4 linked regions of the Rhinolophus ferrumequinum genome follow. The protein of the gene in region 2 purifies or fractionates together with the protein of the main gene of each other region. This does not show direct contact. Links are inferred from orthologs where the notes say so. Each region holds a gene or a part of one and is shown on either strand. Other genes may lie near its edges. The genes, in order: FKBP5, IKBKB, SRC and RIPK1.

Region 1 (7,663 bases), on a different chromosome or scaffold from region 2:
TAGACATTTAGATTATTTTCACCTTTTAGCTATTATAAATAATGATATATACATTGGTGTACAGGTATCTGTTTAAATCCCTGTTTTCAGTTCTTTTGGGTATATGCCTAGGAGTGGAATTGCTGGACCATATGGTAATTCGGCGTTTAAGATTATGGGAAGTGCCATTTTCCACGGAGGCTGTAATATTTTACATTCCCACCAGCAGTGCACAAGGGTTCCAGTTTTCCTACATTACTCACCAACACTTAGTACCCTTGTCAAAAATCAGTTCACCAAAGATATGTAGGTTTATTCCTGGATTCTCAATTCTATTTCTTTAATCTATATGTCTATCCTTGTGCTAGTACCAAGTGTTGATTTCTTTGAGTAAGTTTTGAAATCAGGAAATGCAAATCCTCCTCCTTCTTTTCTTAAATATTGTTTTGGCTATTCTGGGTCTCTTGACATTCCATGTGAATTTTAGAATCAGCTTGTTGACTTTTATAAAGAAGTCAGCTGGGACTCTGATGGAATTGCATTCAATCTGTAGATCAATTTGGAGAGTATTGCCATCTTAACAATGTTAAGTCTTTTGATGCATGAACCTGGGATGTTTTTCCAATTATTTAGGTCTTTTTAAATTTCAATAATGTTTTCAGAGTATAATTAAATTTATTCCTAAGTATTTTATTATTTTTGATGCTATTATAAATGACTTTTTTTCTTAATTTCATTTTTGGATTGTTCATCGAACTTGTACAGGAATACAGTTGATTTTTGTTGTTGCTCTTGAATCCTGCAACCTTGCTGAATTTGTTCATTAGTTCTAATTGTTTTCTAGTGCATGTGTTCCTTAGGATTTTCTACATACAAGATCATGTTATCTGTGAAGAGAAATGGTTTCACTTCTTTCTTTTTAATTTCTATTTCTTCCTAATTGCCCTGGCTAGAACCACCAGTACAATATTAAGAAGTGGCAACAGTGGACATCCTTGTCTTGTTCCTTATTTCCTGAGGAGAGGATCCAGTCTTTCACCATTAAGAATGATATTTGTTTTGGATTTTCGTAGATGCCCTTTATCAGGTTGAGGATGGCTGCCTGTTTTTGTAAATAAAGTTTTATTGGAACACAGCCATGCTATCCATTTACGTATTGTCTATGGCTGCTTTGTATTACAATGAGAGAGTTGAATAGTTGTGACAGAGAACATATGGCCTATAAGCCTAGAATATTTACCATCTGGCCCTTTAAGACAAAGTCTGCTGACATATGTTTTAAACTGCTAAATTTTGAGGTAGTTTGGTATGGAACAATATACAACTAAAATAATTCCCCATCTTTGACTGGGACCTCAAAGAACTGAAGCACTGAATAAGTGGGATCCATAAATAAACAAATGATCCCACAGACTATCGTCCACCTTCAAGTCATCTGGGAGACTCAGAAATCAGAAGTCCTGAAATTGGGTTAAGATGATCCTAGCTTACTGGTGTCCCCAGATGCCTGCAGAAATAAATGGAAATCCTTTCCAGAGGAAGATATTATCATCGTTGCTGCAAATGATTTTTTAAATACAAGGTCCAAAACATAACCAGGTACATGATGAGCTACAACGACATGAGGAAGAACCAGTAGTAAAAACTGACAATGGAAGCTGACCCACAGGGACTCCAGATTGGAATTAACAGGCACAGACCATAAAACAACTATTCTCACTATGCTTAAGGAGAGAAAAGCCAAGCTTGACCACTAAAGCAGGGCACTAAGAGATATAACAAGAGACATAGCAGATCTGAAAAAGAACAAAATAGAAATTTTAGAACTAAAAAAAAATAGAATAATCAAATTTAAAACCTTAATGGATAAGTTTAATAGGAGAATTTTTTTTTTTAAAGGCTGAAGAGAGAATTAGCGAACTGAAAAATAGTGAGAAGAAACTTTTAGAACAAAGCATGGGAGGACAAAACATAGAAAATACAGAAGAAAGGGATGTAGTGAGAAGGTCTAACATGTGTTTCAATAGTGAGAAGGTCTAACGTGTTTCAAAAGAGGAAAAGGTACAGAAACAGTATTTGAACATGAGAGTATAATAGCTGAGAATTTTTTCAAATTGATGAAAAACTATTCAAAAGGTGACAGGCAGCTGTGAAATGACAGATATCCACTCTATCACGAGTTCTGACTCTTAAAACAGTATATCTTTCATGTGCAGATCTGCCTTTGAAAGGATTCTGAAACCAACATGGAGGTAGCTTCGCAGCCAATGGAATAGGGCTCGGGTGAGCTGAGTTCAAGTACAAGCTATGCTACTTCCTAGCTGTGCCACCTGGAGAAGGTTGTTAAACTTCAGTTTTCTCAACTAATGAATGGGACTCGTACTACTGGCTACCCTACATTGCCATTGCGAGTATCAAGTGATACAGTACATATGAACAAACCTAGTGAATGCCAAGTGCTTTAAAAGTGAGCTGTGGTTTAAGCAGTATCGCAAGCATTGTCAGGGACATTAGCAGTGACAGGTAGGACTGGCTACATAATTTGCAGGTCCCAGCACAAAAGGAAAATGTAGGGCCCCTTGTTGAAAAATGATTAAGAAATTCGAGATGGTGACAGCAGAGCATTAAGCGAAGCCCAGGTCACATGCCCACAATGCCAGCCTTGGTGACAAACCCTGCAAAGAACTGCTCTGTGCCTTAGCAAAGGGCTGGTCAGCCCACACCCAGGTGTCTGCAGCCATTGACCACATTATCTTTGAATTCTGAAGAGCAAGAGCAATATTTAGGGAAATCGCAAGCACACATGTTTCCAAATGCTGAGGAGGGCAAGTGCAGTAACCGGAGTGGTTGTCTGAGAGTGGGTGGGGCCAGCCAGGCTGCCATTGCAACTGTGGAACTGACTGTTCCCCACAGACTCTAGCCTAGAAAAAAATAAAAAAGCCTGCAGCTGTATGTACAGGGCCTGCTGTTTGCTGCGGTGTGTTACAACACAGCCTGGCAGCCTCCCGGGCCTTTCTGTCTTCCTCCTAGAAGAGCCTGGTCCCAGAGCAGATGACATGGCCACACAGCCCTGCAGTTTTGCCCCCAGTGCTCTTTGCTGTTCCCTCAGTTACTAGGCTTTTCCAGATCTGTATTCTTTCTGTTCATGTTCATCTCCCCTCACCCACCCCAACCCCACTGGGAGTCCCTTTCCTTCGTCCACATTCCTCCATCTGGTAAACACAATCTTTCAAGACTCCATCTATGAAGACACAGATCTAGTCTCACCTCTTCAAGGAGGCCTTCCCTGCCTCTCCCAGGAAGAGCTGATTCCTCCCTCCTTGGAGCCTTCCATTGTGCCCTATGCGGGTATCTGTCACAATCCCTGTAACATGAGGAGCACTGACATGTACTGTGGATGTCACTGTCTCGTAGGCTTAATCCCTCAAGGGCTGGGACAATGTTTGCTCACCTATGCATGCCCTGTACATAGCACAGTGCTTAAAACCTGCTATTAGTAAGCATAGTAAATGCTTAACCTATTGGTGATAGTATGCAGAGTAGTTTTAATCACCATTGTCTTGCTGAAATGATGTATGAATAAATTGTTTCAGTGACTTTCCCAGGCATCGGGTAAAAAGGGAAACTTCTGGGCCCCGAGACAGGGCCCTTGCCCTTGAGGTTTCGGTGTTGGCTCTAATTGTCTTTCCTACAGGCACCACGTCTTGAAGGCAGGTCTAAATGACCAATGTGATGCAGAGCAGAGAGCAGATTTGGAGCTAGGAGACAGGGCTTTTAATCTGGCTATGAGACATTAGGTTTCCACAGGTAACTACCGTATGAAGTCCCATTGCTATGGGGCTCAAGGTTTCTGTTTCCTCAAAAAACGAGGGGGTTGATCTAGTTATTCTGCAAGGCCCAGGAATGTCTATGGGAGCAACTCAGAGGTGCCCATCTCCTTGGAGGGGCCTGGGACCCTCCTGAAGTTGAGTTTGCTCAGCAGGCCTATCTTTTGGGAGCTGGGTGGTGATAGAAAACACAAACATTTCTTAAGGTCCTTTGCTGTTTCAATCGCCTGGGATCTGTTTGAAAAGAAGAAAGCCATGGGAAAGCATAGTCTTCACAGTTACTGAGAGTCCAGACAGAAGTGCTATGTCTAAATTGGTTCTGGAAATGGGATTTTCCCAGTCCCAACTGGGCAACATTGACTTCCTGGGGTTGTTTCCTGGGGCTAACCCAGTCTGCTTGTCTGACACAACAGCCTGGCCTGTTCCTCTCCATCCTACCGGCAGGCCGGTTGGACAAATAGGAGAGCAGAGATTTCAGAGACTGTTCGGATGCGAAGTCAACTAGTTTGTTCAAGCATTACTTTCTCTGGAGGTAGTGGATGGTGTATGTGTGTTGGGGGTGGGCGTCGGTCAGTTTCCTCCAGCCCTTCCCTCCTGCCCCCACAAAGGGCTAGGGCCAGACACGTGGGCTGGCGTGAAGAGGCGGAGGTTACACTAAGGCGGAGGTGCAAATGGACGGGGGCGGGGCCTTATTTGCATGGACGGCGCGCGGCCACCAATCCGAACAAGCAGAGCAACAGCCCGCGCGCCTTTTGGGGGCGGATTGACAGCTCCAGGGCCCAATGGAAGGCGGGTCCTGCGGCAGGCAGGGGCGGGACGGTGCCGGGCGCTGCCCCGGGGATTCGGCCGGCTCGCGGGCGCTGCCAGTCTCGGGCTGCGGCGTCCGGTGCGCGGGCGGCCTGCTGGGCGGGCTGAGGGGCAAGCGGTGGTGCGGGTGAGGCAGAGAGAGAGACGGAACCGACGAGCAGCTGCTGCGACAGGTATCGGCGCCATGGCCGCAGGGATGGGGCGGGCAGCTGCGGTGCCCGGGGAGCCGAATCCCCTCCTTCGCGCTCCGGCCGCCGCCGTTCCACCTCCCCGCCCCCTCACGCGGCTCCCGAGCCCGGGAGCAGCTTGTCTGGGCGAGCGGGGCCCGAGAAGCCTTGAAGCCAGCGCGCCGAAGGCCCCCAGCCCCACTGCGGGGCCCCTTGCGCCACGCCACGCCGGGCGATGGGGCCGTTGCTCCCTCCGGGAGGCGCGGAGCCGGGCGGCAACGGGAGCCGCTCCCCTCCCCTCCGCGCTCCCCCTCGCGGAGACGAGGCTGGTCGCGCCTGCTCGTCCTCACCCGGCTTTTGTTTCCCGCCGGGGTTGACAGGTCCCGGCTTCGGCTCCCGTCAGCGGTCTCAGAATCACCCGAGGCCCGGCACCGGTGACCGCAGCCGCCCAGAGCTGGCGGCGCGTGCACCCCCGCCACGGGCGGGAGAGAAACTTCGCCTTTCCCGGCCTGGGCGGCGGGAGAAGTCGAGCAGGGGTGAGCCGTGCGCCGGGACGCCGAGGGCGCAATGGAGCCTCGCTCACCTGGTGGGGCCCGCGGAGGGTGAGGATAACGGAGTGTCCGGCTGCTGCGCTCCTTGCTTAGGTTTTCGCTGCCCGGGCGGTGGGTGCGGATGCGCGTTCACCGCCTTCACCTGCCGCCCTGGGACGAGTGACTGGGGACAGCATCCCCGCTCTCAGGCGCTCTTGGAGGGTGCCAGCGCAGCGCCCATTCTAACAGGTGATTAGTGCCGGCTGAAAGCCAGTTAAAAGTTGTTTGAGGGTTCCTTATTCATTCAGTTCGCTCCTGGGACGTTATAACGCTTTCTCCCCAATTGCTGTCTAAGAAGGTGTACTGCCGACTGTAGGAATCAAACTCAGTTGACTGTATAATCAAACTCAGTGTTGATTATAAAAGAAAAATTGGTGTGTGTGTGTCTGTGGCGGCGGGGGTGGGAGGACGGTCAGTGTAGAATGACCTCTTTCGATTGACGAGCCAGGAGGAACATTTTAGTCTCATTTTAAAAAATCGGTTTCTGTAGTGGTGGGAAAAGCATAGTAAGGTACAAGTTGTAAATGGAGAACGCAGAACTCTAGATAGCCTTCAGTATGGTTCAGGACAGCGTGTACGACGTTTGGCCGCCATTCAGTAAATTCTGCACGAAGCAGTTTGAGCTCGTGGTTTTGGATTTACTTTTCAGGAGTATGTTTTCCAGTGGAATAAGGCTTAGCATTGAATGGGAGCTTTCTTTGCCTCTCTGAGGGTAGATAGGAGTGTTTATTTTCATTGCCTTCCCATTTTGTTAGATTGTGGACAAGGGAAAAAAAGTTAAGGCAACATTTTGGTTATTTTTAATAGTCGATGGAGTTCCGTGCGGCCCCTCCACCCAAGGGTTTTTACTTCAGAAAATTATGCAGATTTTTCTCTTGCTGTTTGAATCAAAATTCAAGGATAGTCTTAAAACATTATTTTTGTGGGAAATTTTCACTTGTCATACTTTCACTTATTTTCTCTTTGTCTCTTTCCTAACTGACTTCCATTTAACAATCTGCAATTATGGTCCTGACCAATTTAGGGCATCTATAGAAAAATATATTTTAAAATAATATAATTATTTTTAAAAATATAAAATATATATTTTAAATTAGGGTTGTTAACATTCATTTGTGAGAAACACAATTTTACTCGATTGTTTTCTAATGTGACTTCTTTTATATTTGTCTTGGGTATGATTTATACATAATAGATTAAGTTTAACATCTTAAGAACAAAGTTACAATTTTGATTAATTATGCTACCTTATTAGTGTTTCATTGAATGATTTTACTTATTTCCCTAGCTAATTAGTAGCAATATTTAAAGCTGAACTCCAACCAAGAGGCTTGTTGTGACTTTGGGCTTAAACAACAACAAAAAAATCAAAGATGGTCTTTATAAAATGTTTTATTTCTCTAAAATAACAAGCTTATATGTTGTGTCTTTCATCTTAGTAAAACAAGTATGTTTCTGAATCTTTAATTTTTTTTTTTTTTTTTTAGTTTTTGGGACTTTGCGGTTGGTGTCTTTTTATTGTTCATTTTTTAATTTTTATAAAATTTGTTGGTGAAATTGGTTAGTAAAATTATATAGGTTTCAAGTATACATATCTATAGTACTTCATCTACCGTGTTTTCCCGAACATAAGACCTAGCCGGACAATCAGCTGTAATGCGTCTTTTGGAGCAAAAATTAATATAAGACCCTGTATTATATAAGACCCGGTATTGTATTATATTATACCCGGTTTTATAGTAAAATAAGACGGGGTCTTACTAATTTTTGCTCCAAAAGACGCATTACAGCTGATTGTCCGGCTAGGTCTTATGTTCGGGGAAACGGTATATATTGCATTGTATGTTCACCACCCAGAGTCAGTTCTCCTTCCATTACCATATATTTGACCCCCTTTTCCCTCTTTTACCACTACCCCTTGAATGTATTTTTTTAAACATAATTTTAACCAGTTCAACATAAAAAATTTAAAAAATAATGGATTGGGCAATTAATCTTAATTTTTCTGTTTTTTTTCTTGGATTGGAAAAGAATAGGTATCTTCGGTTATTTTTAGTTTCCTAAAGTTTTCTTAGCTTAGAAGGAATCAGTCTAGAGATGAAAGAACATCCTCTTTCTATCGCTGTAGAAGTTATTATTAAAAACTGAGGTGGCTTTTTGACCCTTAGGATAGATTGGTTGAATGGTGGCTTGTCTTCATGTAGGATGGGTTTTATTCTATATAAATAGTTGTAAGGAATCTTACAAGTCTAGAGCTCTCACTAGTCTAGTTATGGATGATTTATATAATTGC
Region 2 (7,523 bases):
ACAAAGAGGCATTATGTGAGGCACGCCAAATGAGTGGAGCTCAAGGCATTCAATGGAGGAACTAATTCCCACGGAATGAAGGAGTCATGACAGGTTTATGGATGAGATGGTCGAGAGCTGATCCCAGAGGAATGGGTAGAATTTAGATAAAGCTGTCCAGGAAAGAGAGGCTTGTCCAAGAGAGGGCTCAGCCGACACACCTGTTGGGAGCCAACACGGGGCGCCAATGCTAGAAAGATAGGAGGAGGCCAGACTCTGACGGGCCTCCAACGGCAGGATGAGGAATTTGGCATTTGGCTTTTTAAAAATAAGTTTAAAGTTTTGAACAAGGAAAGGAACTTGAAATGAGTAATTCTAGAAGAGTAATCCACACACACACACACACACACACACACACACACACACACACACATTCTTAGGCCAATCTATACAGCCAGAAATGAATTCTACCCGACAATGGTTTTCCAAACCCAGAGGGCAGGTGGCAGCCATTATGAACTAAAGATGACAGACAAGGAGATGGCACATTTGGACAGAATTCTTTTGGAAGGAAACCAGGATGGCTCTAGTTCAGCTGCAGCAAGAAGTTAGCCATGGTCAGGACTCTAGAAGCCCTTGCCTGCTTAGAAGCAGCCGAGCCCAGGTATATGTGGAGCTGTGGAATGAATGATCTGCCTCTTCTGTTGCAATGCTAGGCCCCTGGCTATACTCTGACCAGGATAACTCTGAGCCAATGGTGTTTCTAAGGCCCCCGTACGCCAGGTATAGGTTTGCTGGAACCCCAGTCTACCAGTTGGGTGTGAGAATGTTACTGGAGGGCAGAGTACAGTGCGGGCTGGCCAGTAGCCTTGATGACCCTCCCTGCTCACCGCAGTCAAATTCCCGGGATGGCGTGCAATTTGCCATTCTTTCAGTCCAAAAAGGTGCTAAGCAGCTCTTAACTAACAAACAGGTGCCTTTCCTCAAGGACTTCGGTAGGTCTGAGTTTTGAGTCAGGAAGCAAATTTTGGCTCTTTGGTGAGTGAGGGTTCCCTAGAGCAGTGGTCTCCAAATTGGGTATGTGCACCCCAAGGGTATCCAAGACTGCAATCCACAAAGACTTAAAAAGAAACTAAGCTTTTCTGATATTAACTGTATGGCACTCTCCTCAGGTCATTTGTCAGAAGGTCACTTGCCTCTTCTGGTACTCGAGGTATCCTGAGGAAAATGGGCGTTCCATAGGCAGGGGGACAGGGGCCGATGGGGACATATTGCAGGTCATGTGTGCCCCACTCAGGTAAAATTATGGATTGTATTATTCCAATAAAATAACTCTCATAAAATGGACAAGTGGCTTAAAAAGATTCTTGCAGAGAATTTTAGTATGTGTAACACCTGCACAAGCAAACAGGAAGATGGAAGAACACGTCTAGTGTGAGAAACTCAAGTCTAACACGTAAGGAGTAAAAACAACGAGGCTCCAATCAGATCTAAAAAGAAACCAGTGCAAATAATTCAAAATTATAAAAATTATTTTAAATACGGATTTTCATCTGTATTAAATACGATATCCTCAAGAATAATCCTCACTTTCACGTGTATCTGTGTATTTTGTGTTGTGAAGTATTGCAAACAATACTGGGAAGACATCATAATTGGCAAATATTTAAAATGTAAAACAAATTTTTTTAAACATTTAAAAATATTTCATTACCCTCATCCTTTAAATTTTTCTATTTTTGTATGTTTTATAACATGTGATATATTAGTACACAATACACTAGTACATGATAGTCTAATGTTAGCATAGATACATAACTTAAAATATATATAATTGAGGCTGGAAGCTGAACATTTTTTTTACTATTTAATAGGTGGCATAATCAATAAAGCTCGGAGACCACTAAGCTAGAGTCAGCTTAGCAGCCCTGAATCCCCTTCACTGCTCCCCCTTCTCATTCTCTCCCAAGAAGCGCATGACCAAAGGTGAGACCCATTCACCCAGCCAGCACACTGCACATTGTGGGGTAGGCAGAGGCAATGGTGGGGTGGGGAGAGCCTGTCTTCCCCGCCCCACCCGCGCGGCCCATGGCTCTTCCCATCAGCACAGAGCCCCTACCTGATTGTGCCATCGGATGACGTTTCCAAATCCCCCTGTTCCAAGCCGTTCTTTCATTTCCCAGGCCCCACATGTCTGGGTTGGCAAGGAAGGTGACCAGCTCATACTGATGCTGTGCTAACTCTGTAAGCAATTTGGGGTGGGGGACAAAAGGTTATGGTTAAGAAAAAATGGAATTCAATGAGATGGAGAAGGTAAGCGATACCATAGAGCTCCAGTGGAAGAGAAAAAGGAGAAACTGAGGTTTTTATTTTGTACATAAACCAGTTTGGTTTGTTTTTTGGTTTTGGTAGCAAACTTCTGGCTTTCTCATCTTTCCCAACCCAACCTCAACCTTGTGTAAGCAAGCAGGGAGGGAAGTCACTCAAAGGAGATGATACCCCACGCCCCATTGCCTCGAAATGGGATTCTCCAGCCTGGACTCCAGCAAGGGGAGACCTGCCCTGCCATTCTGCCCAAGGTGGCAGAGAGAGAATCTATCTGAGTTGTCCCACGGTCACGTGTGTCTTCACACAGTCCGAAAGAATCACAGCTCTCTCCCAAAGCCACCCACTTCCAAGTATCCACCTGGAACCACCCCGCTGGTGGGGCCTCCCAACTCCAACGGCACAAGAGAAACAATTCCGTGCCCAGTACCCCCCGACTTTTAAACTCGACAGAAGTTTTTTCAAGAGCCTCAAGGGAGGCGGGAGGTACGAGCCTGCCTGGGCGAAGGAGACGAGGGGTCGGCAGGTGACACGGAGGCCCCGGCGCCCCGCGGCCCGCGCCCGCCCGAGGACTCACCTGTCGGCGGGGACACGGGGCGGGGGAACCGGGGCTGGGGCGACAAAACTGGGGGCTCTGGTAACACCCCGCAGACATTAAAATACGGGAATCTTAAACATGCCAGCCGAGCGCTACTTCCTCAAACACTTCCTGCTCTGACGTCACGGACCACGTGGACCGCGGCCGGCCCTTAAAGGGGCCACAGGGCCGCTGGCCCAGGCCACGCCCCGTGCCCGCGGACTGTGGCGGTGCAATCAGGTCGGTACCCTGAGAACCCCGCGTTCAGGTGACTCCGGGATGGATGCATGTGGCTTCTAGACAATTCTAATCGAAATTAGGCAGGCTATGCCCCCGGAGATAAAAGAACAGCCCGAAAACAAACCCTAATACGCCAGAGTTCTCTTTAAGTAACCGGCCTGAAGCGATTTCTAGGACAGAGGTGATGGGGATTTCCTCACCCCAGTCCTCCCGTAGTGAACTTGACCCCTCTTCCTAGATTTTTAACTAGGTGGAATTTCCCGCGCCCTCGCTAGGATTGATTTAAGGACTGTTTACAAGAATTGGCTTTGGCCTCCTGGCCTCATGCTGTGCTCCCCTGGTCTGGAGGTTCTTTGGCTCAGCATCAAGAATGATAAATCACAACTTTACTCCTTAGAAGTGACAGCTCCCTCTCCCCCCCTAAGAAAATAAAGAAAAAGGGGTGGGGGCGAAACCTAGTAGTGCAACACTAAACTGCCCGTGTCAGCCCCAGTGATGCAGAAAAATTGAGAGAGGCTCTCAGCCCTGAGGTTTATTGTTCATCTCCTACCTACTCGGCGTTGGAATAAGGTCTTTTATAATAAATAGCTTCTCAGATCTGTGGCATTATGTTAAAAGACAAAGGAGTTGTGTGTGTATGTTGGTATATTTACTCAAGCAGGAAAAAGTATTATAGGGAACCTGAAATGATAATAGCTACTTTTATAGAGCTTACTAAGTGCCATGCACTGTCTAAACTATGTACTTGAATTTCCTCATTCAGTCCTCAAGGCAACCCTACCAATTGGACAATACTGCATTATCATTATTGTCTCCATTTTACACATAAGAAAACTGAAGCACGCACGGAGAGGAAAAGTCTTTATCGCAAAATCACAGGCTAGTAAGTGGATGATCTGATAGTCAAACCCCAAGCAACGGTTCTTGGGCCCACACTCTTAGAATTTGATTAATAGTAGCTTACTAAGAAGTTCAGAAGGAGGCCAACTGGATTTGGAAGCCAGATACTACTATTACTGACGACCTCTAAGAAACTAGGGCCAGTTACTTAACCACTCCAGGCCTCCATTTCTCTTTGTTAAACTGTAGGCAATATTAGATTGAGTTACATGAAATATTTTTAAGACATTTTTTTTGAGTCATTTTTTTAATAAGACAAAAGCAGTCAAAACATCAGCATCAAACGTCAGCGATTTCATTTGGTTCAGCCTAAAAGCAACAGAAATATAGGAGGGCACACGCGTCAGAGAAAGGAGGCGCCAGCAGTGTTGTTGTGAAGGACAGATGAGGTCATGGCAGAGCCATGCTTGACACACAGGACACTCTTGCCTGAACAGAGCCCAGAGGCTGAAGTTAATTAACTCTCAGGAATTATGTCACCCCAAACAGATCGACCAGCAGTGCCCAGTGCCACCCTAGGCACTGAGGCCTGCCCAGGATTTCTCAATTTACCCTATGGTCTCTGCTAAACAGCACACTCACTCAGCCTCAAAGCAGGAAGAGAAAGGAACATGAGTAAATAGTTGTAAAACACTTAAAATAGTGCCTGACATATTCTAAGTGCAACATAAGAGTTTGTTTAATAAATACATTTTTAAAATAAAACCTATTTATTGAGCTCCAATATGTGCCGGTCCCTATGTAGAGTCTATCTCCTATATGACATCATAAAAGATTTCATTTTAATCCTTTCACCTCTGAAAATCACTGTCTCTGAGAAACTTAGCTAAATATCCACAGATAGGCCATAGGCGTACTCTGTACTGCTATAATTTAAGAGTTCTCATTTGCTCAGCTCAAAGTAACTTGTGTTTCAACTAAACATAAATCTCTCTGATAAGTCATATATTACTAGATTTTAAAAAAATGATGGCTCAGGAAAGGGTCACTGGGTTTTATCATGTCCCAAGATATTAATCAGCTTAAGCCCTGTTTTCCTTCCAGATAAAACATGTCTACTGTCTACACCTCTGGTCTCTATCCTTCTCCAGAGATGTGAGCGGACTGTTTACAAAAAAATGTTTATTCCTTTTTCTTCCTGTTTTGAGGCTGAGTGTGTTACTTAGCAGTAACTATAGGGTAATCAAGAAATATGAAGCAGTGCGAGTGCCTCATAGAGCCCTGGGTACTGCTGACTCAGGGGATCCAAGCAATATAACTCTTTTCAGAGGCACCTGGAATCTTACTGGGGCCATAAGACTCACAGAAAGCCAACAAATGATGAGAGATAAGGATCAGGTAATAAAAAACCAGTGATAACTAGTTCTGCTGTAGAGGCAGTATGGTATTAGTGGTAAGGATAAAGTTTCTAAATGGTTCCTTTTAAAATAAAATCTTTTTCCCAGGGTAAGTCAAAGATAACTATCCTCTTACTTAGCCTTTTTGTGTCATCATTTGAGAAAACTGCTCTCTCACCTATTAGCAGCCAGTCAAAGCAGCACTGAGTTCCTCTGAGTGAGAAAAGGCTTGTTTCCAGAACAATCTGGGAGCTGACTCATAGTAAGAGAAGCCAACTTAAAAGATTAGAAAGCAATTTAACAGACCACTCAGGATAAGGAGGATTTCTTCAGCACCCCAGCACCCAGAGGCAGCTCTAGTTCAGTTACTTCAGCAACTCTTTTATTATTCTTCCAAGTTTATTTTATCCCAGCCCTGCAGAAAGAGGACTTTGCAAGTTAGGACTTGCTCCTTCAACAAACAAAAATTCTTCTGCCAGAAAAGTTGGAAAACTCGTTTAGTTGGAAGACATGAAGAAATCCACTTTTCTTCTAGGGGAGTTGGGAGGAGTAGAAGGTGGAGTTGAGCTGGTGGAGACTGATGGTGAGAATGAACTTGGCCCCAGATCCTTCAGGACTCAGTGCAGAGCTGGCTGCAGAAGAGTAAGGAAAGAAAAGGCAGCTAACTTCTATCTCTGTGAATGAGACCTGCCAATGGTGAGTCTTTAGAGGAACAGGGCCAGCCAGGCCATCGTGCCTTAAACCTTGGATAAAACACTGAAAGCTGAGGATTTGGGGCCCTGAGGATTCTCCCCAGAAGAATGATAGTTTGAGGGAGGAATGATAGCTTGCACACTCTCTTCATGTTTACACACAGAGGTTTTTCTTCTAGTAAATTCAAATTAAAGTGGAAGAAGTCACTAAAGGACAGCTGCCCATTCCTTGGCAGTGGAGGCAGGAAGACCACAGATATGCGCTGGGTGTATATGTTTATATCACCTGGAAGGTATGTTTCTTAGCTCACATCAGTTCTGAGCTGCTACTTTGGTCCATGGAAGCAGGGATTTTGTTCACTGTTGCATTTCTAGTGCCTGGTACATCAAAGGTATTCAATAAACACTTCCTGGATGAGGGACTATAGTCAGTAATATTGTATTAACTATGTATGGTGTCAAATGGGTACTAATTGGATGATCATTTCACAAGGTATATAAATGTCTAATCATTATTTTGTACACCTGAAACCAATATAATACTGCATGTCAACTGTAACTAGAAAATAAATTTAAAAAACAAAAGAAAAAATTTTCATGAATGAATGAACGAATGAGTGAATTACAAAGACTGGGGATAACTGCACTCTTTAGCTCTTGGATATAGTGGTCCCTGGAGTCTGAAAGACATGGGTTCTAATCCTGGCTCTGTTTTCTTGGCTCTGTAAGCTCTGGCAGTTTACTAAATCTCCCCAAGCCTCAGTTTTCTCATCTGTAAAATGGGATCTACTAAAACCTACTCCTCATGATTATAGGGTTTAAGTGAGATTATGTACATAAAATGCCTAGTACAGAGCCCTCTTTGAATAGTAGTTATTAATGCTGTTATTTTTTAAAAGCAGTAATCCAGAAGTCAGCTGAGATCCCTGTTCTTTGTGATCCCAGTGACTGGGCTCAAACCCTCCCCACTTACAGTGAAAGGCCCAGTGCACTTTCACCTTTCACATCTCTTCAGGAATTTGATGCAAGAGATGGTGATGTGTGATGGTGAGTGAGGTGGGTGGTATGTTTTTTAGTTACCTCTGATTCTGAGCTCCTGTTTTTGCTAAATCCTTAACCGCCCTTTCAAAATAGGTCCTCTTCTCCACCACAACTGGCTATTTTGTCACCACACTCTGTTCTAGTCCCTCAGAGCGCTTATCACTACTTTTTTGAGTTCAGCTTTTTATTGAACATGTTACAAAAGAGGGTTAGTGAAAAAGGCCAAAGCCCATGTCATCATCAGACCCCTCACATTCTTCTTTCTTTGCTTCTACTCTCTTCTCCTGTGCTGGGGGCTGTGGGGCAAGAAGGAGCAGGACGTCCTGCTGGGCAGGGCCAGCAGCCCCCACGTTGTAGGTGAGACGCCCAGTGTTGAGGTTGGCCAGAGCCATTGCAAACTAGCCTGGCCACAAAGATTTAGCATTTACACTG
Region 3 (7,120 bases), on a different chromosome or scaffold from region 2:
CAGTTTGGCCTCGTTCCCTGGAACCCAGGTATGTGCTCACATACACATCCAACATAGGGTCCTCAGCTGTGGCTGCCATCAGTGTAGAGGCGTCCAGACTGCACCTCCCTCCTCCTGTATCTCCCTCCTGAAACTCAGTGACAGCACATCTCCCCAGGCCCTTCTCTGCTCATAACCCTCCATGGCTCCCCACTGCCTACAGCATTTAAGGATCTTCAGGGCACACCCTTGCCACCCTTCCCATCGTGCATTTGCTCATGCCGTTCCCTCTGCCTGGAACACCTTTGTCCCATTGTCGCCAGAAGCCATGTCTTCAGGCTTCTACCCTCTCCACAAACAGCCTCCTTTCTTCACCAGCCCTGCACTCCAACACACAAACTGTGTTAGGGGCCCGTTGTTTGGGCCCCTCAACCCCCACGCTTGCCCAGCCACTGTGCCTAGTGCACTGGTTATGCTTCCCTGCTCCCCCAGGCTGTGAGCAAGTCCAGGCAGAGACCAGACCTGGCTTGTTCGCTGCTGTATCCCTAGCACCTAGCACAGATGCTAGCACACAGTAGATACTCAGTAAATATTGACTGACCAGAGGAAGGAAGTGTAAGCCTTAGTCAGAGGCTAGAGGGTGGGGAGAATTCCAGGCAGAGGGACCAGCAAGTACAGAGGCCTCAGGACGTAATGAGCTGCTGTGATGGCGTGAAAGCAGGGAGGCAGGCTTGATAGAGGAGGGAAGGGGACCAGGGCCTGCAAGGGAGGCCTAATTGGCTATCAAGGGCCAGATCGGCTGGTGCACTTGACAAACTGGACATCTCTGTATAAACTGTAAAGTGCAGGGCTATGGGAGGTGGCAAGCTCACTCCTCAAGCTAGAGCCTGCACATTCTTTCACCCCATCCTTTAGGCCTGAGCCTGGTGGCTTTGAATAGACAACTCATAGCAAACCATTTGGGGAATGACAAGGCTGGTCTGGAATTTCCTGCTGAGTGCCAGTGTTGGGTCCAGCTTCCTGGTCACTGATCTGAGGGTGAGCTGGGCTTTGGGTGGGTGAGGCAAATAGGCCCCCATCAAACCAGAGCCACTAGGGCCCTGCGTGAGATGCAGGCAGCGCCCCTGATCCCATGTCATGGGAAAGCTCTTACCGAAGGGTCTGCTGCCACTTGTGTGAACCCAGGCCTCACTCCACACTTTCCATCCTGCTTTGACCCAGGTGGTGGGAAGGAGGGAAGAGGTTTCTAGAGACTGATGACAGTGTTCAACAGGTGCTCACCATTGCAAGCAATGTTGACATGAATATCCGTCTTCTGCTGGGTGCTTTGGTTTGGGAAATTGCCCTTTCTGGTGTTCCAGGCTTGGCCCAGGGCTGTGTATACCATTGTAGTCAATAAATATTTGCTGTCCATTAATGATGATGAATGATTTGTAGGTATTAAGCAATGAGTTGCTGTTTTACTAACAAGGTTTTAAGCAAAATAATGCACAAAGAGTCACTTATCCACTAGGCCAGGCCAGCAACTCTTGCATTTGCATGATCCTGGGAGTTGGTGGGGTCATTGTCCCATTTCACTGATGAGTAAACTGAGGCTCAGAGAGGGAAGGGTCACACAGTCAATGAATGAAAGCGTTGGAACTTGAACTCTTGTATGTGACTCCCTAGTCAGTATGTTCTCCCCAGCCAACTGGGCAGTGTCTGCTCTATGCTGGGCACAGGCCAGGCCGTAGTCCCTGCCCTTAGGGTGGGGGCAGACACACCCCAAATTGATGGGGTTTGTCGACAAGCATGTCCTGAAGGAGGTGATATTTACTCAGGAACTTGATGTTGGGAAGCTAGAGATATGGGGCGAGCATTCCTGGCAGGGGTTACAGCCTGAGCAAAGGCCCAGAGGGAGGATTAAAAATAATGAATATTTCCAAGGCTCAATAATAAAACCATTGTGTTGGCCACATCCTCCTGAAGTGTCTCCTGAGAATCTCAGCCACTGAGCCAAGCCCTTGGAGCCAGTGGTGGCTCCAGGTGGAGGGCTGCCTCTGTGCTTATAGAACCAAGACTTGTGGAAGTGGCCCCCGCTGCTCCAAGAGAGTATGGAGGGGAGTGAATGATAACATGGGCTCAGGCATACCGAGCTTACAGCACCTCATTTCATCCTCACACGAGTCTTCTGAGAGAAGCACTATCTGTAGCCCATTTTGTAGGCTGGCATACTGAGGCTTAGAGAAATGGCATGCTTAAGGTCACATATCCAAGAAGTGGCAGAGTTGGGATTTAAACACAGATCTGTAGGTCCAAAGTGTGCTTTTAAGCCCTTTGTCATCCCCGCTATAGGAGCCCAAGACTTTCAGTTGAACTCCTGGAGATGAATCTAGTGATGTGCTAGTAAATATTTAACGACCAGCTCTCTGGAAGGGAAAAAAAAAGCCTTAATTTGCAGTGTTTGCTGATTTCCAAGATGTACATGCTTCCACGGTGACTGATATCAACTTACCAAGGTGACGTCATTGATCTTGGAGTTGAAAAGACATGAACACAATTTGCTCTTGCAAATGGCAAGAGCCAGCTCCGTCACACCACTGGTTGAATATCCCACTCCTAGCCCAGTGTGGCCAGGAAAGACCTTCAGACACGTCTGAGGAGTGAATGAGGGCTGAGAAACCTGCTCCTCCAGCCAGGAGCCCGAACAGAATCCTGGGAAGCTGTGGTTAATCTGTAAGCCAGCCTTGCAAACCCGTGCCACCGTTTCACCCGCCCGGGATGGTTTCTGGGGCCGGCTCCCCTGCTGACTTGGAGCCCCATCTCCTCAAGTCTTGGTTTTACCACCCTACCATTTGGTGGGCACAACCTTAGTCAATCCTCACCCTTGTCAGTTTTAACCTCCCTAGGAGTCCTCTGGGACCATGTGCATTCCTGTGACTTGGATAAGGTGCAATAGGTGGGCAACTAGCCTAGATTTGAACCCAGATCAGTCTGGCTCAAGGCCTTGCTGGTCTCTTGGATGCTATTGTGTTCTCTGAGGACTTTGCCTCCCATATTCTAGGCTTCCCCGTGCAGCTTCTCTCAGGAGAAGTCTAGGCCAGGTGCCTTTTAACCTGGCTGGCCCTTAGTTTCCCAGGGGTGAAATGGGGGAACTTTCAGAGAAGGTAAGTGGAGGCAGGTGGTAGTATTTAAGGCTGGCTTCGGGCCCATCTTCCCCGGGGTCATGATTCCAGGACGACAGGTGAAGAGCCAAGGTTTGGGGTGCTCTAATAGGGCAGCTCTGGAGCCTGGGCCAGGAGGTGGTGGGAGGAAGGTGGGGTCAGATTGTGGTGGGGGCAGGCTTCGTGGCTAAACCAGCATTTTCTCAATGTCTGCTTTCTCTGCTATATTCCCTGTCCCCAGCATCCGGATGTACTTTGCCTCTTTATTTACTTAAAAGGGCAATTGTCGGTAAAAACCCGCTTTAGCCCCCTACTCAGTAAGAATATCCAGAACTCGATGGGCTGCCTTAGTTACTTTTTAAAAAGCACATTGAAATGAACACGTATCTATTAAAATAAGTGTTCTCCTCCTCACACTGTCCCTCAGGCCCCAGGCCCCACTTTGGGAAACAGGTCAGGACCAGAGTCCGAAGATAAGATTCTTGTAGGTGACCCCCTTCTCTGTGTCTCAGTTTCCTCATCTGTAAAATGGAAATCATCATCCCCCAGCCTGGCTGGTTGCTAGGAGTGGAGCCTAAAGTCTACCCCATCCACTTAGCATGGCGCCTTGCAAGGAGTGAGCGCTCCATTAGTGCTGATATTATTATTATTATTATAACTCATACTTATAGGAGAGGTGGATTTAGGGTAGATAGGGTGGGTAGGTTGGGGGTAGTTAGGAAGGGCATTTTGGCATGAGGGTGGATGGGGTCTTCCAGGGTGGGGCGTCCTCACGGGGCGGGGTGGGGGCGGGGCTCCTGTGTCCGGGGCCTCCACTCCCCAACCCTCTGCCTCATCTGGACCCGTGGGGTCGCGCATGGGTATCTCCAGAGTCACCGGCGGGGAATCTGTCCCCGCGCGCTTCCTCCTTCCTCCTCCTCCCGGCGGCTTGCCGGGCCCCTCCTCCCTGCTCGCGCTCTCCCTCCCTCCTCTTCCCCTCCCCTGGTCGCCGCCTCCTCCTCCTCCTCCTCCTCCCTTTCTCTCTCGATCTGTCTCTCCCGGCCCGGAATCCATTCCGGCCTGGGAGCCGGAGCGGCCTGGCCGCCGTCTGCCCGACCCCCTGGCCGTCCTGCGGTCTGCCCTCTGGTGCGTCTGTCTGCTGGTGCGCCCGCCTGCCCGCCGGCCCAGGTGAGCTCCCCCGCCCCCCACGCCCCTCCGCGGCCCCCAGGTCCCGGCCGGTGTGGGGGATCCCCCGCCCGGGGACCACCCTGGCGTCGGATCGCCTGGCCACAGGGACTCCAGTCCACCCCCCAACCCCCACACCCCCCGGCGGAGCCCCGATCCCGGAGCGGTGGGCGGGCGCACGGGGATTTGCCCAGCGCGGCCTTTTGTTGTGATGCTAAGGGGGAGGGGGCTGGGTGGGGTGGGGGACGCGGGGTCCTGTCCGCGCGGGGACCTCCTCCGGCTCATCCTCCTCCTACGAGCCCCCTGAGATCAGTGAGCCGGGCCGGAGCCCCCAGGCCGGGTGTAGGCCAAATCTGAAATCTGAGCCAGTCGGCGCCACCTCCACCCGAGGCAGCTCGGCCTGGAGCCCCCGGCCTGGGAGGGGAGGTGGAAAGGGGTCCGACAGGGTGGGCCTGGGAGCACCGGGCCCAGAACATCCAGCCTGGCCCCAGGACTTATCTGTCCTCGTGTGGCTTTGGGTAGGGCCTGGTGCCACCGGGCTAGAACGGACTGGGCCAGACTATGCTTGCTCCCTCCTGTCCGTCCACAGCCCCCAGGCTCCCCCCTGGTCAGGCCCAGCAGCCTGCCTGCTCAGAAGTTGGCAAAAGTTTTGGGTTTTCGCCACCAGGCTTGGTCCATCTGCCTGCCTGGGCTGGTGTTGGGGTGGGTTTGAGTCTCAACAGGGCTACCACTTGCCCTGCTGTGTGTCCTCAGACAACTGCCTGCCCTCTCTGAGCTGGGGGTCTTTATCAGTGGCAGGTGGGCCTAGCTGGAATTGCTGGGCTGGTGGAAGGATGGGGGTGAACAAAAGGAGTGAGCCTCAGTTCAGTGTCTGGGGCCTTCAGGCCAACTTGCGCGTGACAGAGCGTGTGTGTGCCTGGGTGAGGCTTCCTGAGCTTCAGGGACTCTGTACAGTTGGGGCAGTCGTCCCTGAGTGACCTGGGGTGAGTCCAGGCTCAGCCACCGTGAGCTGAGACCAGCCTTGGTTTTACGAATGGGCCATGCTGGTCCTGTGGCTGACCCTCTTCTCAACCTCCTGACTGGGGAGACAAGACACATTGGCTTCTCATCTCACTGGGTGACCTGGGCCAAGGGACTATCCTCTGAGTCCCCATATGTGGAATGAGAATCCTCAGGGGAAGAATCTATGTGTTTCTGCATGTAGGGGCTTGGCTTGTTGTAGGTGCTTAATAAGTGAGTACTTCACTGGATAAATTGTCTAAACTGGGTGGGAGGTGAGGTTGCTGGCCCCAGTGGGGCTTATCTCCAGAAGAGGATGAATTGGTGTCAGAAAAGCTGCTTCATAACTCCTTGAAAAAGAAACAGCTCCAGTGCAATCCTGCCACCCGGCAGCTGTGTGACCTTAGGCAACTCACTGCTCGTTCTGGCCTCAGTTTTAAGTATAAAATGGGCCAACGAGAATGATAGCTGCTAACGTCTACAGAGCATCTCCTGTGAGGGAGAGACTCTTGCTTATCCTCATTTGGTTGATGGAGAAACTGAGGTGTAGCGAGGGCAAGTGACTTGACCAAGGCCACAGAGTTGGAAGCTGGAATGAAAACCACCTAGACCTCAGAGACTCCACTCCGGTTGCCCTTGCAGCCCTCCAGTGTTGTGGGGGCAGGGGTTTCCCAGTATGGGACCAGGCATACCGCGGTGTCGGAAAAGACTACACTGATGAGTGAATGCGTGGAAGCCACGAGGCCTTTTTGGTGATGTGGTGTTCCTTAGTGATGTGATTTTTCCACCCAGGGCAATGATTTATAGTGTGTCACCTCTCTCAGCTGACCGCCTGCCCAGGCCCTCCTGCGTGGTCCCTGGGTCTTTGCTCCTGAAGGTGTCCCTGCCCAGAGTGCCTTTTCCTCTAGGAGCTGCTTATCTGCTCTTGTCCTTGAAGGCTTAGCTTAAGGCCCACCTCTCCCAGGAAGGCCCCCCAGCTCTCTCCTGTCCTCTACTCTGTTCTTGGAGCATGAATTATCCCTAGTTCACAACCAGTTCCTGCTTTTGCTTCTTCCCTGATTGTGACCTGGGGTGGGGTTGGGGGGGTGGTTGTCTGGCTTTCCCAAACCCCAGGAGCCAGGGAGGAGATGGCTCAGAGGCCTGCTGACAGACTCCGCCCCGTGGTCCTCACTTGACCCCGTTTTCCCAAACCCGCCTCAATAAAGCATTCATGACCCCGTATTGGGCACCTACTATGTATGTGCTAGGAGCTTTGGACTCAGGCTGAGCAGTGTGGTGATGGGGTTAGCAGTTGGAGGGAGGCATCGGGAAGCTTCCAGGAGGTGGTGCTGAGGGCAGCAGCAGTTCACTTAACAAAGAAGGGTATAGGGTGCTCTTTCTTCTCTTCTGCTCAGACACTTCCCAGGGTCCCTGGGGTTGTGGGGAGTGGTCAGCCTGAGTAGGCCCTTGCTGGCGAATTGTGAACAGGTCCCTGGCCTCCCAGAAATTTGAGTCTAGAGGGTGAGCCAAATAGCAAACAAATTGTCAAATAAATGAATATATCATCATAGATGTGATAAGGGCTCAAAGAAAGGTGTGGGATACAGAGGAATCTTAAAGGAAGCGAGTAGGAGATGGCCAGGCATGGAGCTAGGGGAAGGGCTTGCCAGGCAGAGGGAACTACATGTGCAAAGGCCCTGAGGTGGGGGAGTGTATGCTTTTGTGGAGAAACAAAGGGAAAGCCTGTGAGTCTGGAGCACAGAGAATTAGGAGGATTGGGTGAGAGGTGAAACGAGGGGTACTAGCAGTAGGGCTTGACCATGTGGGGCCGTGTGAGCTTTGTGGAGGAGTTTGGT
Region 4 (7,327 bases), on a different chromosome or scaffold from region 2:
CTGCTGAAGTTGTGGGTGCCAGACGTTTTAGGTTTTTTCTAGTTTCCTTTTTTTCTCTCTCCTCTGCTGTTTTTTTGTTTTTCTAAGAGCTCTTTCATACAGAGTTGATATCTTGTAGGTCTTTCCATTTAATCCACTGTTATTATTCTGGAACCCCTTTGATGTAGTGGTAATTTGTGAAGGAGGGAAAGCATTTTATAATCTTATGATTAAATCTCAGCCTTTCCATTTTAAGTGGACTGATTTTCCTTCTCCCAGATAGATAACACTCTGGTAAAGTTTTTTCCCTGGGAGAGCAAGTCTTTGATATGTTGAACTCTTGGGATGTATTTCAAAATGGTTTCTTCCCCCCTCCCACTTCCAAAAACATGAGAAGATTTTCACTGGTTCTTTACCTTGAGAATTTGGTGGGATTTCTGATGGTAAAATCCATGAAAGTGTATCCATCCCTGCCCCCAAGTCTGAGCCCTTAATAGTTTCTCACTCTCAAGCTAATCAACTCATTCCCCAGAAATTTACCAAAATTACCATTTAATTGTTTTACCAGTTCATTGTCCCAGCAGTTTCTGCTCCAGATATGGTGATATTAGTTGTGATTGCCCATATTGATCTGTCTACAGATTTCAAGGTAGACGTTTGCACTTTGACTTCAATTCTCTGTTGAGTCTAAACAGAGATTGGTTGATTTTCAGTTTGTTTACCTTTTTTCTTGTTGTAATTATAGGAGCAATAACTTCCATTTTGTTTACATATGGAATTGAAACTGGATGTGCCAATCAAGTTTTAGCAGAGGTGAAAAGGCAATTCAAAGGATAATCTTTACAAGAAACTGTTAGAACAATTGGATTATCTGTATTAATAAAAAAAAAAACTTGATCTAAATTAAACATCATGCTTTATACAAAAATTGCCTCAAAATAAGTCATACTTCTAAATGTAAAAAATAAAGCTATAAAATTTCTAGAAGAAAATATAGGAATAAACTTTATGACCTGGGCTGAGATAAAGAGTTTTTAGACATGACATCAAAAAAAAAAAATCTATAAAAGAAAAAAAAATTGATTTGAGGAGCATTAACATCTTAACATTGAGTCTTCCAGTCCAGAAAGAGGGAAAATCTGTTTATTTATTTAGGTCTTTTTTCACGTCTCTTGGCAGTATTTTGTTCTTTTTTTAGAGGTCCTACATATTTTTTACTGTATTAGTTGCAATGTTAATGCTATTGTAAATGCTGATGCTCTTCTAACTTCATCTTGTATTGCTTCTCGCTAGAAACAGAAATACAAATGATTTTTAATATCTATCTTGAATCCAATGACCTTACTAAAGTCACTTATTAATTTTAGGTTTGTTTTAAATTCCTTTGAATAGTCTACACACATAATTATGTCCTCTGAAAATAATGACAATTTTATTTTTTCCGTTTCAATATTTTTATGTTTTGATTTTCTTTTCTTGTTGCAATGGCCAGAGCTCCTGGTACAATTTTGAAGAGAAGTAATGATAGTGGACTTTCTTGTCTTGCTCCTAATTGCAAAGGTAAGTGCTTAGTATTTCATGGTTAAGTATAATGTTATCTATAGGTTAGTGTAAATATTCTTTATTTAATTAAGAAAATTCTATTCTTAGTTGTCTAAGAGTTTCTATCATGAACAAGTCTTGAATTTTTATCCATGCTTTTTCTCGAGTAGGTTATATGATGTTTTTTCTTCTGTAATGTGGTGAATTACTTTGATTTTCAAATGTTAAACTAACATTGCATGTATGGAATAAACCCTAGTTGGTCATGATGTATTATCCTGTTAGAGAGTCACTAGATTCAACTTGATAATATCTAATTTAGGATTGTTTGCCTCCATGTTAATGGGATATATTAAACTATAATTATCTTTTCTGGTGCTGTCCTTGTCAAATTTGGCTACCAAAGTTAAGGTGGTCATATTAAAAGCTTTTAGGAAGTTTTCTCTTTTTCTCTTGTCTAGAATAGTTTATGTAGGATTTGCATTATTTCATCTTTAAGAATAGTTTATGTAGTATTTATTACCAAGGAAGTCATTTGGGTGTGGAGTTTTCTTTGATTTTTACTGATGCATTCAATACAGGACTATTTCAGTGTTCTATTTCTTCTTCAATCATTTTTGACAAGTTGTATTTTTCAAGAAATTTCTCTAGTCCCTCTACAGTGACATAAAAGTTCGTTATGTCACACTGTTGTCATTATAACATTAATGACATAAAATTGTTAATAATTATCCCTTATTTTTTAATCCTTTTAAATTTTGTATAATTTTTGTTTCATTCTTGATAATATTGGTCTCTCTCTTTGTCAACAGGGTCAATCTTGCTGGGGGGTTATCACTTTTAATCTTTACAAATGGCCAACTTTTGTTCTTGGTTAATTCCTCTGTTGTATGATTTCTATTTCAATGATTTATTTTCTTAGATTTATTAGAAACTTACGATATTTTTGTTGAGTTTAATTTCCTGTTTTTGCAACTTGAGATGAGCATCCAAATAATTGATTTTCAACCTATCTTATAATATATGCATTACAAGCCAGAAATATCACTCTAAGAATGAAGTTGGCTTTATCTTAAAAAAAGTCATCCACATATTTATTATCATTTAGTTAAAAATATTTTCTTGGGACCGGCCCGGTGGCTCAGGCGGTTGGAGCGCCGTGCTCCTAACGCTGAAGGCTGCTGGTTCGATTCCCACATGGGCCAGTGGGCTCTCAACCACAAGGTTGCCAGTTCGATTCCTCTACTCCCGCAAGGGATGGTGGGCTGCACCCCCTGCAACTAACAATGGCAACTGGACCTGGAGCTGAGCTGCGCCCTCCACAACTAAGACTGAAAGGACAACTTGACTTGGAAAAAAAGTCCTGGAAGTCTTGTATCTAGTACCTGCTTGGCATATGGTAGTCAGAAATGTCTGCTAAATGAATAGGCCTCTTTCATTGTATACGTGTAATTTTATTGTTTACAGCAGTTTTAGTTTCACAGCAAAACTGAGTGGAAAGAGCAGAGTGTTCACACATATTCTACCCTCTCCCCAAAACAAAACAAAAAACACAGCCTCTTCCACCATTTTGCACCAGTGTGGTACCTTTGTTACAATTAACCAACTGACACATCATTATCAAGCAAAGTCTATAGTTTACATTTGGTTTCACTCTTTTGTACATTCATGGGTTTAACAAATGTATACTGTATTCACCATTATAGTATCACACAGAATAATTTCACTGCCCTAAAAAATCCAGTGCTCGACCTATTCCTGCATCCCACCACAAAAACCTGAGAACCACAGATTTTTTTTCACTGGTTCCATAATTTTGTCTTCTCTAGAATGTCAGTTAGAATCATATATTATGTACCTTTTTTCAGATTGCCTTCCTTCACTTAGAAATAAGCATTTAAGATTCCTCCATGTCTTTTTGTGGTTTGATAGCACATTTCTTTTTAGCACTGAATAATATTCCATTGTATGGGTGGACCACAAGTTTTTTGCCCATTCATCCACTGAAGGATAATATTGGTTGCATTCAAGTTTTGCCAATTAGAAATAAAAGTGCTATAAACATTTGCATGCAGGTTTCTGTATAGATGTAAGCTTTCAACTCATTTGGTGAATATCAAGACATGTGGTTGCTGGATCATATGGTAGACTGTTTTTAGCTTAAAAAATAAAACTGTCAAACTTTCTTCCAAAGTGGCTGTACCAATTTGCATTCACACCAACAATGAATGAGAATTCCTATTGTTCCACATCCTCACCAACATTTGATGTTGTCAATATTTTGGATTTTAGTCATTCTAACAGGTGTGTAACGTGGTACCTATTATTTTTTCAAATTTGCAATTCAATAATGACCTATAATGGTGAGCATATTTTCATATGCTTACTTGCCATCTGTATTGTCATGTCTATTAGATCTTTTGCCCATTTTCTACTTGGGTTGTTTCTTTTCTTAATTGTTGAGTTGTTTTCAATATACAGTTGACCTTTGAACAAGAGTTGGGGGTGTGGGGCGCCCACAACCTATGCAGTCCAAAATCTGGGTATAACTTAAGTCTGCCTTCCAAACATGAAAATACAGTTGAAACTTGAACAAGGCAGGTTTGAACCGCGTGGGTCCACTTAAACACAGATTTTTAAAATACCCCTGTATGTGGACCCGCGCAGTACAAAACCGCTTTTTAAGGGTCAAATGTATTTTGAATAATAGTCCTTTATCAGATATGTCTTTTTCTTTATCAGATATATATTTTGCAAATATTTTCTTCCAGTTTGTGGCTTCTCATTCTCTTGATTATATAATATATAATCACGCTGTGTATTATTTGCTTTTTAATACAGAACTGTATCAAGCTTTTCCCATTTTTCTTGAAGATTTCCCAATCATTTCCCAGCCATTTTAAAGGGCTGGAAAATAATAGCACATTTCTCCCTGCACAGCCCCAAAGAGCAGATATTATTATCCCCCCTTTACATGTGAAGAGAGGTAAGAGAATCGTAAATTTGCCTGAGGTTCAAGCGCTGCTTAACCTGCAGAGCCCAGAAGTCCCTGGGAGACCTACCCAGTGCTGTTTACTCAGCTAAGCGGCCTCTCCCTCAAGGCGGAGGTTTCTAGGACTAGGCATCATTACCTTTTCTTTGGCCTTCCAACTCTTTCAAATAAGTAGAGCAGGGATTCTTTGGCTGACAGATCTTGGGGACCGACGCCCCCACGGCCGCAGGGCGGGCGCCCTCCCCATCCTCCTCCCCGGCAGGAGGCGGAGCGAGCAGTCCACGCCCCTCCGCCGCCGGCGCTTACTCATTCGTCGCTCTGACGGCGGGGACAGCGGACAGGCCTCCCCGAGCGCAGGGGTCCTGGCTGGCCCTCACCTCCAAGGGCCAACCGCGCGGTCCCAGCGAGGGGAGGGAGTGCGAACCACTCGGCTGGACGCGCGCGGCGCGGCGGGGCCGACAGAGCCGGGCGTGGTGAGCGCGCGGCGGGGCGGCCACTCTGCGTCCCGGTCTCCCCAAGCCCGCTGAGCTCTGTACCCGGTGACCCGCCCCGCAGGACTCGGGCGTCCTCCCGCGGCGCGCCCCAGCGAGGTGGCGGCGAAGTCGGTGTCATTCCTGAAATTCCTACCGCTGCTTCTTTCCTCACTCAGGCCTGGGGAAGTTTGCCGCGGAAACGAAAGTAAATAACTCGGGTGCGTCTGCGCGGTAGCAGTGGCAGCGCCCGCCAGATTTGGGACTCTGTCTGCTTCTGGGCAGGCGGGCGGGGCTTCCTGACGGGGCGGGCTGTGGGCGGAGAGTGGGCCAGTTGGGTAGTGGGTGGGGCGCTTGGCATTCCCGGAAGTTGGTCTGTGAGTAAAGCTGTTGTGGGGATTGACCCGGGAGAGCACTTTCCAGGCTCTGGGCCTCACGTGGAAAGGTGTTGTCTTGGTTAGTAGATGGCCATCAGCTGTAATCAGATGGCCATCTGCCTTGGCTAGGTGTCCATTAGTTGTTACTGGTTAGCCCTTAGTCGTTAATACTACTGCCGTGGCTATGCTGGCAAGGGGGTTGCTTGGCAGAGAAGTGGATGGCAGGTTGCCGCTAGCCAGTGTGGTTAGCAAGCGGACTGTGGATTGCGGATCCTGTTGATCCTACTTCCTGTGTCTCCCCTGGCCGCCAGGGAGACAGGATTGCAGGAAGACCCTCTCATTGGGGTACTGGTGGATGTTTGCTTTTGTGTCTCTGTCAGCCGCCAGCGAGAATATAGTGGTATGACTCCCCTATCTATGGCTCCGTGGGTGTTCTGTTTTGGCCTCACCGTATCCTGCGTTCTTGTGTGGGGAGCGGGACCAGAGTCCCTGCATTATACCTGTCGTATTCCCGGAAATCGGGTGGTGGATCCAATTTCCCCTGCACCTGTTCGGGAGGACGAGGTGAGCGGATGCCCCGCAGCAATCTGGGTCTTGTACTCAGTTTTAAAATCCCAGATATCTCTCAGCCAAAGGAGCCCATCTTTATTTTGTTTTAAAGGAAATTAGGAGGACAGAAGAAAAGAGGAAATGTTACCCAGTCCTAGAAACCTCCACCAGAGTTCCGGGAAATCAGGTGCAGAATTGTTAACTGTCCAGGTCTCTGTCGCTCTCAGGCTTGCGGGAGGTTTCGGTGTAAATCCGTACTAGAGTGGAGAGACCTGACCTCAGGTCACTAGAACCGTGTGACGTAGGAACACACCTTTCGTTGTTATTATCTTTGTTGTTTTGGTAGGGGTGATGGGTTTCCATTGCTGTAGCTTTCCGGTACAATCATGGATGCCCTTGCCATAATAGGGTAAGTAGATGTCTCTAGTTGGGACTTCTTACCAACCTTTTGAAAGTACATTTTACTGTTGCATTTGAGGCCGTAGCGGGTTGCAAACAGTGAAAAGCATTAATGCGTAATCTTAGACGTGAACTGGCAAATGGAAAAGAAGGGTCTACAGCCGCATTGACAAAAGGGACAAATGTCGTAACGCGTGGAGGCCTCTTCCGTGGTTAGTGGCGTTTGCTTTTATGAAATGCTGCAGAATCTTTTCAGGGTTTAGAAGAGGATTAGCTACATCCTTCTCTCTTAAGCACTTGACAAAAGCCCACAGGAGTGGGTGTGTGTTCATTTCTTTGTGTCTTGCTGATGTTTTGTCTCTTCCTTGCTCAGAACTCTTGTTTATCTTGGACAAAGCCTGAGGCTGTTAAAATCAACCAACTTTGCAGAAGTTTTTTGGTCTTTAAACCACTACTATTAATTCTTCCCTAATTTACACTTGAAGAAATCAAAGCTCAGAGTGAACTTTGGAATATAGAGTGACTTAGTACTTGATTTGCATCTTGTAATCACCAGGTTGGTACAGTAGTAACGAAGATATTATGGTCAATTAGAAATGTACACCTGAAGCTGAAGCTGAACAATATTGAATGTTGACTACAATTTTATATATATATATGTATATATATATATATATATATATATATATATATGGTTACAAGAAGTGGAGTACAGCATTAGGAATAGAGACAGTGGAGATGTAATGGCTGTGTGTGACGTCAGAGGGGTAGTAGATGGGGGAAGAGGGGTTGTCACTGTGTGAGGGACATAAATGATAAATGTCTAACTATTAGATTGTTTTGTGCACCTTAAAGTAATAAAAAAGATGTTAAAAAAAAGAAATGTAGAAAACTGCCTTTTTCTAAACAGAAAATGAAGACTAAACTTGCTTCAAACAGAATTTAGAACTTATTATTACTGATAAAACAGCAGTAACAATTACTTTAATTTTCATTTTCCTCTATCTGCACTATATTGA

The links.
Region 1: the proteins of IKBKB (region 2) and FKBP5 purify together in Homo sapiens (affinity purification with mass spectrometry; 3 studies listed by BioGRID and IntAct, with this or other methods). This does not show direct contact. The link is inferred for Rhinolophus ferrumequinum from reciprocal best matches to the Homo sapiens genes IKBKB and FKBP5.
Region 3: the proteins of IKBKB (region 2) and SRC purify together in Homo sapiens (affinity purification with western blotting; 3 studies listed by BioGRID and IntAct, with this or other methods). This does not show direct contact. The link is inferred for Rhinolophus ferrumequinum from reciprocal best matches to the Homo sapiens genes IKBKB and SRC.
Region 4: the proteins of IKBKB (region 2) and RIPK1 fractionate together in Homo sapiens (co-fractionation; 3 studies listed by BioGRID, with this or other methods). This does not show direct contact. The link is inferred for Rhinolophus ferrumequinum from reciprocal best matches to the Homo sapiens genes IKBKB and RIPK1.

The regions. Positions count from the first base shown.
Region 1 is NC_046286.1:5,717,698-5,725,360, reverse strand, and holds the start of FKBP5 (peptidyl-prolyl cis-trans isomerase FKBP5), read left to right. Parts: upstream 1-4,655; 5' UTR 4,656-4,786; intron 4,787-5,160; 5' UTR 5,161-5,316; exon of another isoform or gene 5,317-5,382; intron 5,383-5,536; exon of another isoform or gene 5,537-5,559; intron 5,560-7,663. UniProt on the Homo sapiens protein: Immunophilin protein with PPIase and co-chaperone activities. Component of unligated steroid receptors heterocomplexes through interaction with heat-shock protein 90 (HSP90).
Region 2 is NC_046287.1:58,290,582-58,298,104, forward strand, and holds the start of IKBKB (inhibitor of nuclear factor kappa-B kinase subunit beta), read right to left. Parts: upstream 3,019-7,523; 5' UTR 2,882-3,018; intron 2,222-2,881; 5' UTR 2,204-2,221; coding exon 2,099-2,203; intron 1-2,098.
Region 3 is NC_046306.1:18,599,357-18,606,476, reverse strand, and holds the start of SRC (proto-oncogene tyrosine-protein kinase Src), read left to right. Parts: upstream 1-4,105; 5' UTR 4,106-4,289; intron 4,290-7,120. UniProt on the Homo sapiens protein: Non-receptor protein tyrosine kinase which is activated following engagement of many different classes of cellular receptors including immune response receptors, integrins and other adhesion receptors, receptor protein tyrosine kinases, G protein-coupled receptors as well as cytokine receptors.
Region 4 is NC_046292.1:90,729,976-90,737,302, reverse strand, and holds the start of RIPK1 (receptor-interacting serine/threonine-protein kinase 1), read left to right. Parts: upstream 1-4,320; 5' UTR 4,321-5,191; exon of another isoform or gene 5,192-5,204; intron 5,205-5,396; exon of another isoform or gene 5,397-6,318; intron 6,319-7,327. UniProt on the Homo sapiens protein: Serine-threonine kinase which is a key regulator of TNF-mediated apoptosis, necroptosis and inflammatory pathways.